Drosophila melanogaster: one gene and its partner. The gene in region 1 interacts genetically with each later gene. Each region holds a gene or a part of one and is shown in the gene's direction. Other genes may lie near its edges. The genes, in order: cyc and Clk.

Evidence for each region.
Region 2: of cyc (region 1) and Clk, changing one suppresses a phenotype caused by changing the other (phenotypic suppression), as found in Drosophila melanogaster (one study listed by BioGRID).

The regions. Positions count from the first base shown.
Region 1 is NT_037436.4:19,813,264-19,818,021, reverse strand, and holds cyc (cycle), read left to right. Parts: upstream 1-2,083; 5' UTR 2,084-2,247; coding exon 2,248-2,267; intron 2,268-2,526; coding exon 2,527-2,601; intron 2,602-2,760; coding exon 2,761-3,215; intron 3,216-3,285; coding exon 3,286-3,715; intron 3,716-3,771; coding exon 3,772-4,033; 3' UTR 4,034-4,252; downstream 4,253-4,758. Other genes in the region: fibp, read left to right, coding at 270-272, 327-405, 473-791, 855-962, 1,019-1,151, 1,202-1,302, 1,361-1,429, 1,491-1,676 and 1 more. UniProt on the Drosophila melanogaster protein: Putative transcription factor involved in the generation of biological rhythms. Activates cycling transcription of Period (PER) and Timeless (TIM) by binding to the E-box (5'-CACGTG-3') present in their promoters.
Region 2 is NT_037436.4:7,772,360-7,777,658, reverse strand, and holds the start of Clk (clock), read left to right. Parts: upstream 1-2,055; 5' UTR 2,056-2,163; intron 2,164-5,299. UniProt on the Drosophila melanogaster protein: Circadian regulator that acts as a transcription factor and generates a rhythmic output with a period of about 24 hours. Oscillates in antiphase to the cycling observed for period (PER) and timeless (TIM).

The DNA.
Region 1 (4,758 bases):
ATTTCCTTATGACTTGATCTTAAAACTCAAAATCACACCGAATTTGGTTTTACCATTATTACTCTAAACATTTTCGCTTGTTTATTAATAGGATATATTGATGTTATGAAAACAAGAACGATTTATTACTTTCAAGGAAAAGTTTTAAATTCATGAGAAGAATAAACTATGCTGCTTGTGTTGGAACTACACAGTGTTTCATCTCTAACATACATTTCGATATATCCAATTGGACAGCTAGTTCAGAAAACGGTCACTCTAGCAATATAATGGTAACTATCTGATGATCCAAAATAATAATAAATAGTAAAACTGAATGCTTACAGGCCGATGTGGATGTGTTTATAAGTAATTATACAATCATCGATCCAGAAATTTACCAGCTATGGATCGAAGGCTTCTCCTGTAAGTTTTCTTCTCCCAATTGCAATCTTGTTTCATGTCAAACGGCTCCATCGATTTACAATTATAGCCAGCGAGGCGGTGTCCTATCTGAAACAGAAGGGTTTTGGTCACTCCATGGGCGCTCCCAGCGACCTGATTGCATCGGATGTACTGGATCATTACCGCACCTATTCCCTGATTGAACTATACCTAAACGCACCCACCAAACTGATGGAGCAATCCTGCTTCCAGCTGGAGCCACAAATGCGTGACCTTATCACCGAGAAGTACTATTCCATCGATGATGTGGTGGCTCGCGAAATTCTTGGCAAGAAGCTGTCGTCCCGCTACCGCAAGGACCTCGACGAGGTGGCCGAGAAGACGTGCGTCAAGCTAAAATCAGTTCGGTGGGTAAATTTGGCCGCTACTTAGGCAGAGTAGAGTCTAATATATTTCAACTTCTTCTTCAGCCGACAATTTGACAACGTAAAACGCATTTTTAAGGCAGTCGAGGAAATGCCGGGCACGTTAACCAACAACATCAAGCAACACTTCATCATATCCACCGATCTAGCCAAGTATGAATATAATCAATGTATTGAACTTCAAAAAGCTAAACCTTTCACTCTTACAGAAAGTACGCCTGCATTGTTTTCCTGGCCTGCCTGCGTTTCGAAACCACCAAAAAAAAGTTGCAATACCTGAGCTTCAGTGATTTGTTGACCTGCTCCCATGCCATCATGATCTACTGGACGTATACTTACCAGGTATGACTTAGCTCTGCTAATTCCTTACGAAACTAATTTACTAAATGCAGCACACTGGACCGGAGTACTATGATACCGAAATGGACAAAGAGTTTCTCTTGGACCTGCGGGAGTTGCGCTGTCTACTCGACAAGGAAAAGGAGATTAAGCAGTGAGATTTATTTTTCTACCGCACACGAGCTATTATATAGTTTAGTCCTTGCATTTAGCCTCGTCTGCATGCGCCTCAAACCCGTTCTTCTCGAGCGCGCCTTTCACGAACTGGATGGCAACTTTCGGTAAGGACTTATTTCTCGACATTATCACCTTTTCTTACTATTGATCTGTTTTGATTTGCAGTTCTTACTGGCGCGCCCTGATCACCATCGCCTGCAATTTGCATCGCAATCGGGAGCTGCGCGATCTTTTCGTCGATCTCTGTGAGAAGCTTATTGATCCTTGGCGTCAGAATGGCTGGAACCGTGAGCAAGTGAATAAATTTTTGGCTTCCATAACGCAAAGCGTTTTGGATCTGGAAATATCAAGGTGGGTACTTTTGTCTAGATTAATCAAGTAACTTTTTTGATAATCAACTCTAAATGTTTTGCAGGGACCAAGAAACCAGATGTCTTTGGGATCGCTATATGCAGGTCATAACGATATGCTTGGATAAAATGTATCACATTTAAGATGTGATTAAACTAAGGATCAAATATAAATAGTATTTAATTGTTTGTTTGTGTTTGTTTCGACTTGTGTTGATTTTTACTCAGATTGTCTAGCCAAAGTAAAATAATGAAAATTGATTCATATGAGTTTCATATTTAAATATTTAAATACCGTTGTTAATTGGCGCCAAATGGTATTTTTAAGCGAAAAGCTTGTTTCCCTTGGTATTCTTCCGAAAGTTGCTGGTATATTTTGCAGCCACGTTCACACTGCAGCTTCGAAGCTGAAGATGCAGGAAAAGCTTGCAACAAATTGTCGGCCTGCACAAACTTCCGTTTTAAATGTTATTATTGGGACGTTGATGCTAGTCGATGTTAGTAAACAAACAAAAGGGAGGTCTTCGTCGGAAAGGGCTTAATTTTTCATAAGCAAACGTCACCGATTGGCGATGGAAGTTCAGGAGTTCTGGTGAGTTTCACTGGAAAAGTGCATTGCAAATTACATACACATTGCATAAAAACGAGCTGTAAGTGTGTGCGTTAAGCACCCACACGAACGCACAATCGCGAAAACGAGCACACACACGCTCATACAAGTTGGCCAGGTGTGCGTGTGGGTGTGAAGGGAAGAGGAAGCAACAGTTGACGCCCGTTACACGGGAAATCCACACTGGTTGATTAAATATCGGGGTTGTTTTCTAATTCACCATTTGTTGTTTTCGATTTAGCGAAAATATGGAGGAGATCGAAGATGAAAACTACGACGAGGAGAAGTCAGCTAGAACCTCGGATGAAAATCGCAAGTACGGAAAACATTATTCAGGCTTAACTAATTCCATATCCATTTATTCGACTTCAAGACTAATAATGATTATTTCGGAAAAGTTAATTGGTCTTTTCAATCAGATTCCTGCATCCATATGCATTTATAATTTTAACGTTATATCATTTATTTTAATTAGGCAAAATCACAGCGAGATCGAGAAGCGGCGTCGGGACAAGATGAACACGTACATCAACGAGCTCTCCTCCATGATTCCCATGTGCTTTGCGATGCAGCGAAAGCTGGACAAACTGACTGTGCTCCGGATGGCAGTGCAGCATCTGCGAGGGATCCGTGGCAGCGGCAGCTTACATCCATTCAACGGATCCGATTACCGGCCTAGCTTCCTGTCCGACCAGGAGCTCAAGATGATTATCCTGCAAGCGTCGGAGGGATTCCTGTTCGTGGTGGGTTGTGACCGAGGACGCATCCTGTACGTTTCCGATTCGGTGTCCAGTGTGCTGAACAGCACCCAAGCGGACCTGCTGGGACAGAGCTGGTTCGACGTCCTGCATCCGAAGGACATAGGCAAGGTTAAGGAGCAGCTATCCTCACTGGAACAGTGTCCCAGGGAAAGGCTTATCGATGCGAAGAGTAAGTGGCCATGCGAAAGTGTGAGATTCAGTACGTCACTTAAGTTTTCTCCTTGCGTTATCACCTGCAGCCATGTTGCCCGTTAAGACCGACGTTCCACAGAGCTTGTGCCGCCTGTGTCCGGGTGCCCGGCGCTCCTTCTTCTGCCGCATGAAGCTGCGCACTGCCAGCAACAACCAGATCAAGGAGGAGTCCGATACGTCCTCCAGCTCCCGGAGCTCCACGAAGCGCAAGTCCAGACTGACTACGGGCCACAAGTACCGGGTTATCCAGTGCACGGGCTACCTCAAGTCCTGGACACCCATCAAGGACGAGGACCAGGACGCCGACAGCGACGAGCAAACAACGAATCTATCCTGCCTTGTGGCAATTGGTCGCATTCCGCCCAACGTTCGCAACTCCACAGTACCCGCCTCGCTGGACAATCACCCGAACATACGGCACGTGCTCTTCATCTCGCGCCACTCCGGCGAGGGCAAGTTCCTGTTCATAGACCAGCGGTAGGTACGATTATGGGCATTAATTTTCTGATGATTCGACTTAAATTATTTGGCAGTGCCACCCTCGTGATTGGTTTCCTGCCTCAGGAGATCCTCGGCACCAGCTTCTACGAGTACTTCCACAACGAAGACATCGCTGCGCTGATGGAGTCTCACAAGATGGTGATGCAGGTGCCGGAAAAGGTGACCACTCAGGTCTACCGCTTCCGGTGCAAGGACAACAGCTACATTCAGCTGCAGAGCGAGTGGCGGGCCTTCAAGAATCCCTGGACGAGCGAGATTGACTATATAATCGCCAAGAATTCCGTGTTCTTATAAGGCATACGAACGTTCCGATGGGGAACATTACTTTTATTTATTCCACTACAATCCGACATTTGTATACACTCCAAAGATCTTCATCCGCATCGAGTTGCTGGCGCCGGCGTTTGAAATTCCATATTCGATATACAAACTTTACCTAATGATAAGCCCATCATTTTTGTACCGCCTCAATTAAATTAACTAACAACTTGAAAAGAGATTCGCTTAGATAAGAACATTTGCTATCGTGGGAACAATCTAGTTTTACCCCATCAAGGTTTCAACATAGCTCTCTGGCGATTGGAATTGTCGAGAAGAGCGGTCGCCTTCGATTACAAACAACAAATAGTTCTTAGCCGAGCACGTTTTGGACGTGATCGCTGCTCGAATTTCTTCGGGCACATAACTACTTGTGGTAAATGGTGTGGATCATGTGTACATATGTACATATGTACGGACATGTGTGTGTTTGATTTATCAACTGAGACGGGCTTTTTCGCCCGTTTTTCGTTTCACTCAACTTTTTTGCTTGCACTATCAATAGACCCACATGAAAAGGCGGCAGCCCAGGCGCGTGGGTTTGTCTGGGTCTGGGTATAGGTCTGGCATGGGTATGGGTATGGGCATGCCTCTGGCTCTCTCGCTCGCTGGATTCGGGTTCGGAATCAGTTGGCATAGAGCTGGCGTGGCATACGGACGCTCTGACACCTTGGCTTCCCAACCAGTGAACGTTTTATTGG
Region 2 (5,299 bases), about 12 Mb from region 1:
GAAAGTTAATGGGTGGACTAATGTGTTAAGAATTTGAAATTACCTTTCTGTTGACTAATACCCTTTCACTATGTATACCCTCTGAACTATGTCCCTCTCTATAACACCCCTACTCTCTCTTGATTATGCTTAGGCTAACTAAATGATATGCTCACCTATATGAACCTATATATAAAGTGCTATACGCTAAATGCTTATTTCTGTATTCGTATCTGTATCTTCAGCCCGCATTCCTATTGAAGAGATAGCTTTGATATATCTTTGTAACATTAGCTAAAACATCTTTGTCTTTGATTTCTTCTACTTCTAAGCCGCATACTCATTTTGTTTATTCTTTTTAATCGTTCAAACTCTCCCTATAAAGCAAATCAATTTTAAAAACAAAAATTTGCTTTATCAGTCGGCACATCTTTGTCTTTGTAAATATCTTTTTACGGATAATCCATAAATTATATGTACATTTTCTACGCTAGTTATAGAACACGAATTTAATTTTCAGCTCAACACAAAATAAATAAATAAATCAACATTTTTTGTCAACAAAATATTTATGTAATTTTATACAAAATATACACGAACGTCTAAATTAAATCATCGTGTATTTACGTTTAGACACTAAATACAATACAATCCCAAAATTTGACATTATTTTTGTGTCTACTTTATATGAAGAAATTATTACATAATTCTATATGAAACAAAAAAAAATTTATAATATTTCTAAAATTCTTAAGATCAAATCAACAACATATTTTCTCTGTGTTTTTTGTGCTAAATTTTTTTTACTGGTACTTCTTAATTTAATAATGATGTAAAATAAAGAGGAAAACAATTAAAATATAAAATAAATGTGGAACATAACTATGGTTTTTCTTTTAACTTATAAAAGTGGTTGATAAAAAAAACTATTGAGTTTCAGTTTGACAACAAAGTAGTTCTGACTACACCTCTGCATTGCTGAATAGCTACATATATACATCCTGTGCGTTGCATAAACCTATAAAACTTTCAAATCAAATCGAGAAAATCTTGTAAATTGCAAATCGAGTGCTGAAATGTTACGTAAGCATCTAATAAATATCGAATTTCTGGTGCAAGCGGTTCGCGATTAGGCAATCATGGAATAAGAATCAGAATTATTAGTTTTCTGTGCTACCTTTGCAGAAAGTGAGGTCGTAGTGCTAGATTCGGAGCTGAATTCCAATTGAATTGATTTTGAAGATAAAATACGACAAAGGAATCAAAGGTAAGGGTCGTGGTTCACTATTGAATTCATACTAAAACTACTTTATATATGAAATATTTATTGAAATATGAGTTTGCATTAAAAAGCTAATGCCGTAGTGCTTTGGAAATTATTTGTGTGGATTAACAAAAGCTGAAATGACAGTTTGGAAGTTCTTTTATCACTTTCCATACTATAAGACAATTTAATTAGTAAAAGTTTACATTAAATTAAATGATTAAATATTAAAACAGTTTGTTTAGTTTTAACTTTAAATTATGTTTAACTTCTCTTATTATTTCAAATTATATTTCAGTTCGCCTCACGTTGCATGAAATGCACATATGATCTGTTAATGTAAGTTTATAGACATGAAGCAGTATAGATAGATCAAAAGATAGTTAGGGTATGTTGCACCACCTACCTAGTTTCAGTCTATGCCGACCTATAGTCAAAAACTCACCCCTGCCACAGACCTTGAACTTAAGTCGCGGACAAACAAAACCCGTTGAATCACCCCTGCGAGACCCCCGAGAGACCCTTATATCTGTAATCTCCAGACGGAATGCCAGAAACACGCGGAATATTGGACAACAAACAGAAAGGTTGAAAGAAAACTATATAGAAAAGCTATACTATCCGATCCGAGAGAGACCCTCTGAGCAGAGTGGCTCTGAGCGTGCTGATAGTTTGATAGAGCGATAGATAAAGACTCAACTCAGGTTCACGATCGGTGCAATTGAGTGATATGGCGGATTCTGAGTGTGGAGAGCATATTAAATAATAGCCGAGTGGCGGTGCTCAATCAGTCAGTCAGTCAGGTAGAGCTGGGAATGCTTGCACATATCGCGTATACGCCCCGGCCGGCAAAAGGCATTACAACAGACTTGTAGACCGACTGACTCTCCCGACCGATTCGGTTTCGTATCTTTGTATCGGTGAGAACGCTTCTGGGGACTCGCTGCTCACATTTCGATGCATTTCGCGGTTTTTCGTTTATCCACGGGCTTTTTGCGTTTGTAGTTTTTATTTTCGCCAGCTTAGAACTTGCAATTCTCGTGCATTTATTCAGTTTGAGTCCAGCAAGCGCAGCGTCAACGAGCGGATCTCTCTCTTTAATTTTCCGATTCGGGTTTTCGATTTATTCGCATTTTCTCCGGGTTTTTTTTTTGAGCGCGCAGTTATTGTTTTATATCGCAAGTACTTGGCCGATCTGAAGCAAAGTCAAGCCGTCTGCCGTTGATATTGTCTCTGCCTGTAACTCGATCGCATATTACACACTTTTCGCCTTTTCGGTTCTGTTTCGGATTTGAAGGGGAATAATATTTTTGTTTGTCTCCGTCTTTGCGCTTAATTAAATTGCAGCTTTCTTCCTTGTTTCTGCTGATATTGCCAAAAAAGTTTTTTGTTTTACCTTTTACCATAAAAGAAATTAAAGTGTTTTTGTTATTGGATATCGTTTTCTATATATTGGCGTATATATGTCACCAAGTGCAGAAGTATAAAAAAAAAAACGCGCAAAGCAGAACGGGAAAAGTTATTATGTAACTTTTAAAACACTCGTGCCATAAAAACAGGAACAAATGTGGAATAATTCTTGAAGAAACAAAGTGAAAGGCAGAGGAAAAAACAAAAGTGGATAAGCCGCCAAAGGCAATATATGGATAAAAATAAATAGTTTAAATAATAATGGGCGTTTTTAAAAAGCCAAATAAAAAAGTGTAGTTATATGTCAGTGATGTTGCAATAAAACACAAATACAAGTTTTCACAAGTTAAAAATTGATCTTAGTTAAATACTAAAGTAGTAAAGTTTTATTTAATTGAACAAGTGCATCCAAACTAATGTAGCTAAGATTCAATTTCGAAGTAAATTAACTACTTTACCTGCTAATTACCAAAGTTTTGCGCCAGATTCAAAAGATTAAATTACAAATCAGCTGCGGCAAAATTGTGAAGTGTGCAAAGCAAAAGTGGAGGAAAAAAATAAAAATAATAAAAGCAAAAGTGCATTAGGTAGAACATCCGCAGTGACAAAAATAACAGAAGAAAAATGCCGCGCCAAAAAAGATAAGGCAAACCCAAGGATGAGATACGAGCGAATACGAGTGAAGATACTTCTCGCTTAAAACAAAAGTGCATTCAACCAAAAAAAAATTGAAAACAAACTACCTGTGAGAGCGATTTTTCCACATACATATAATAAAAACTATAATTTTTTTAAAATGTCTTTAGATTTGGAAAGGTATTTTAATAATGTACTCTTTATTCGAATTTTGAATGGAGTTGTGTCGTTTGTTTACTCTAAAAGTTGGATTTCGTACCCAATATTAAAATAAATATAAAAATTAAAAAATATTTTTAGATATTGGTTTTAGTTTCATTCAGCAAGATTGATTGGATATTTTACGCAGTACACTATTTTCATTCCGGTGAATTCAAGATAAATAATATTGTTTGTAAGTTTTGCTTAATTACAAGAATTTCCAGTGGCTGAAACTAGCTAGGTAATTTGCTAGTCGCTTTGCAATCCAACTATTTCCATTTGTTTTATTTAAATTTTTTTTTTTTTGTTTTTTTTATTGTTGGCTGACAAGTCTCAGGTCTCGGATGTGGCGTCTTTTTGAGTTTTTGAAACGTCATCGTCAGCGTTTGACTGCCCCGAGTATCTGTGTGCGCCAGTCTATCTGTGTGCGTGTGTTCTGCTGCAATGGTGTGAGTACGCGTGTGCATTTGTGCAGTGGTGTGCGATCATGCGGTAGTCGCACACGCTCTCAGTAAAACTTATTTCAATTGACAACTAAAAAAACTATAGGCACATGCAAAAAGGTTTTAAACATTACAAGTGATACAACTTCGATTCTTGTTTTTGCATTTAGTCGAATAAATGGGGCACAATTACGAAACGCTACTTAATTTAATCTGCAGTCAGCTGCACTTTCTGGCCATTTTCGCTCTGGCTTGCAGAGCGTATACTTCATTTTCACTTAGAGCAAATATGGCTAGTTGTTGATACGGTGAGATAAGCAACTGATTGACAACTACTCCAGATCTATTTTTTTTTTTTTTTAACAATATTGAGGTAGTTGGAAACAAAGAACGAAAACTTAAGGAAAGCCTCTGGGTCGTTTTTTAATTAAAAGAACTTATAGAAAAATGCACTTAAATTTCTAATGACTAAAAGTTAGACACCCTTCATTTATATCAAAAGGAATAACCTAAAGAGAGCAAAACTTTGGACTGAATAAGTTTAACCTAATGAATTTTGTAATGGTATAGTGAGTTTTTGTCCACTTAAATGAAATCAAGTTAGTTTTTAATTAGTCGGAATTTAATCGATACTAAATAGAATTCATTTAAAATTTCCCCCTTAACGAAAATATTATTCAATTTCAATCTAAACATATTAAATCATTATAAAGATCGATTTATGTGATGAACTGATGATTTTAAGCAGACTGCTAATGATTCAGATACGTCAATTTATTATTAGATTGTTAAACGTTTAGGGAAAGGAAAATCCAAGATCCGTTTAGGGTTCTGTTTATAGAACAACAACTCCATGCTGGAAAACCACATAGAAGTATACCCCTTGAACACTATTAACGATGAACTCGGAATTGGTAGATTGTAATTAAATCCCGTCTCGGTAAAATAAGGGGGAACGAACGCCGACGAAATAAATCAATGAATGACTAGAGGTAAAAATAAAATAATAGTGAACAATTTAATTAAGTCAAGTTTAAGACAACAAACGCTAGAGCGCGACGAAAAGTATTACAAGTTTTGCGGAAAGAGAAATAGAAGGCGAGGAAGCAAAGTTGTACAACGGGTCGTATGAGTATTGGGTATTATCACTCACACACGGGCACTATGTTGTAATCGCAATGCAATTAGCATTGCCAAGCAAAAGCTCAAGTTCACTGACAAAGAAATCCAGAGACAGAGAGAGAAAGAGAGAGTGAGAGAGAGAGAGAGATATGGGGTGCACATATATAGGTAACCCACACATCGATAGTATGCGATAATTTCTGTAACTGAGCGAAGCTTTACAAATGCAATCAAATGACGTTAG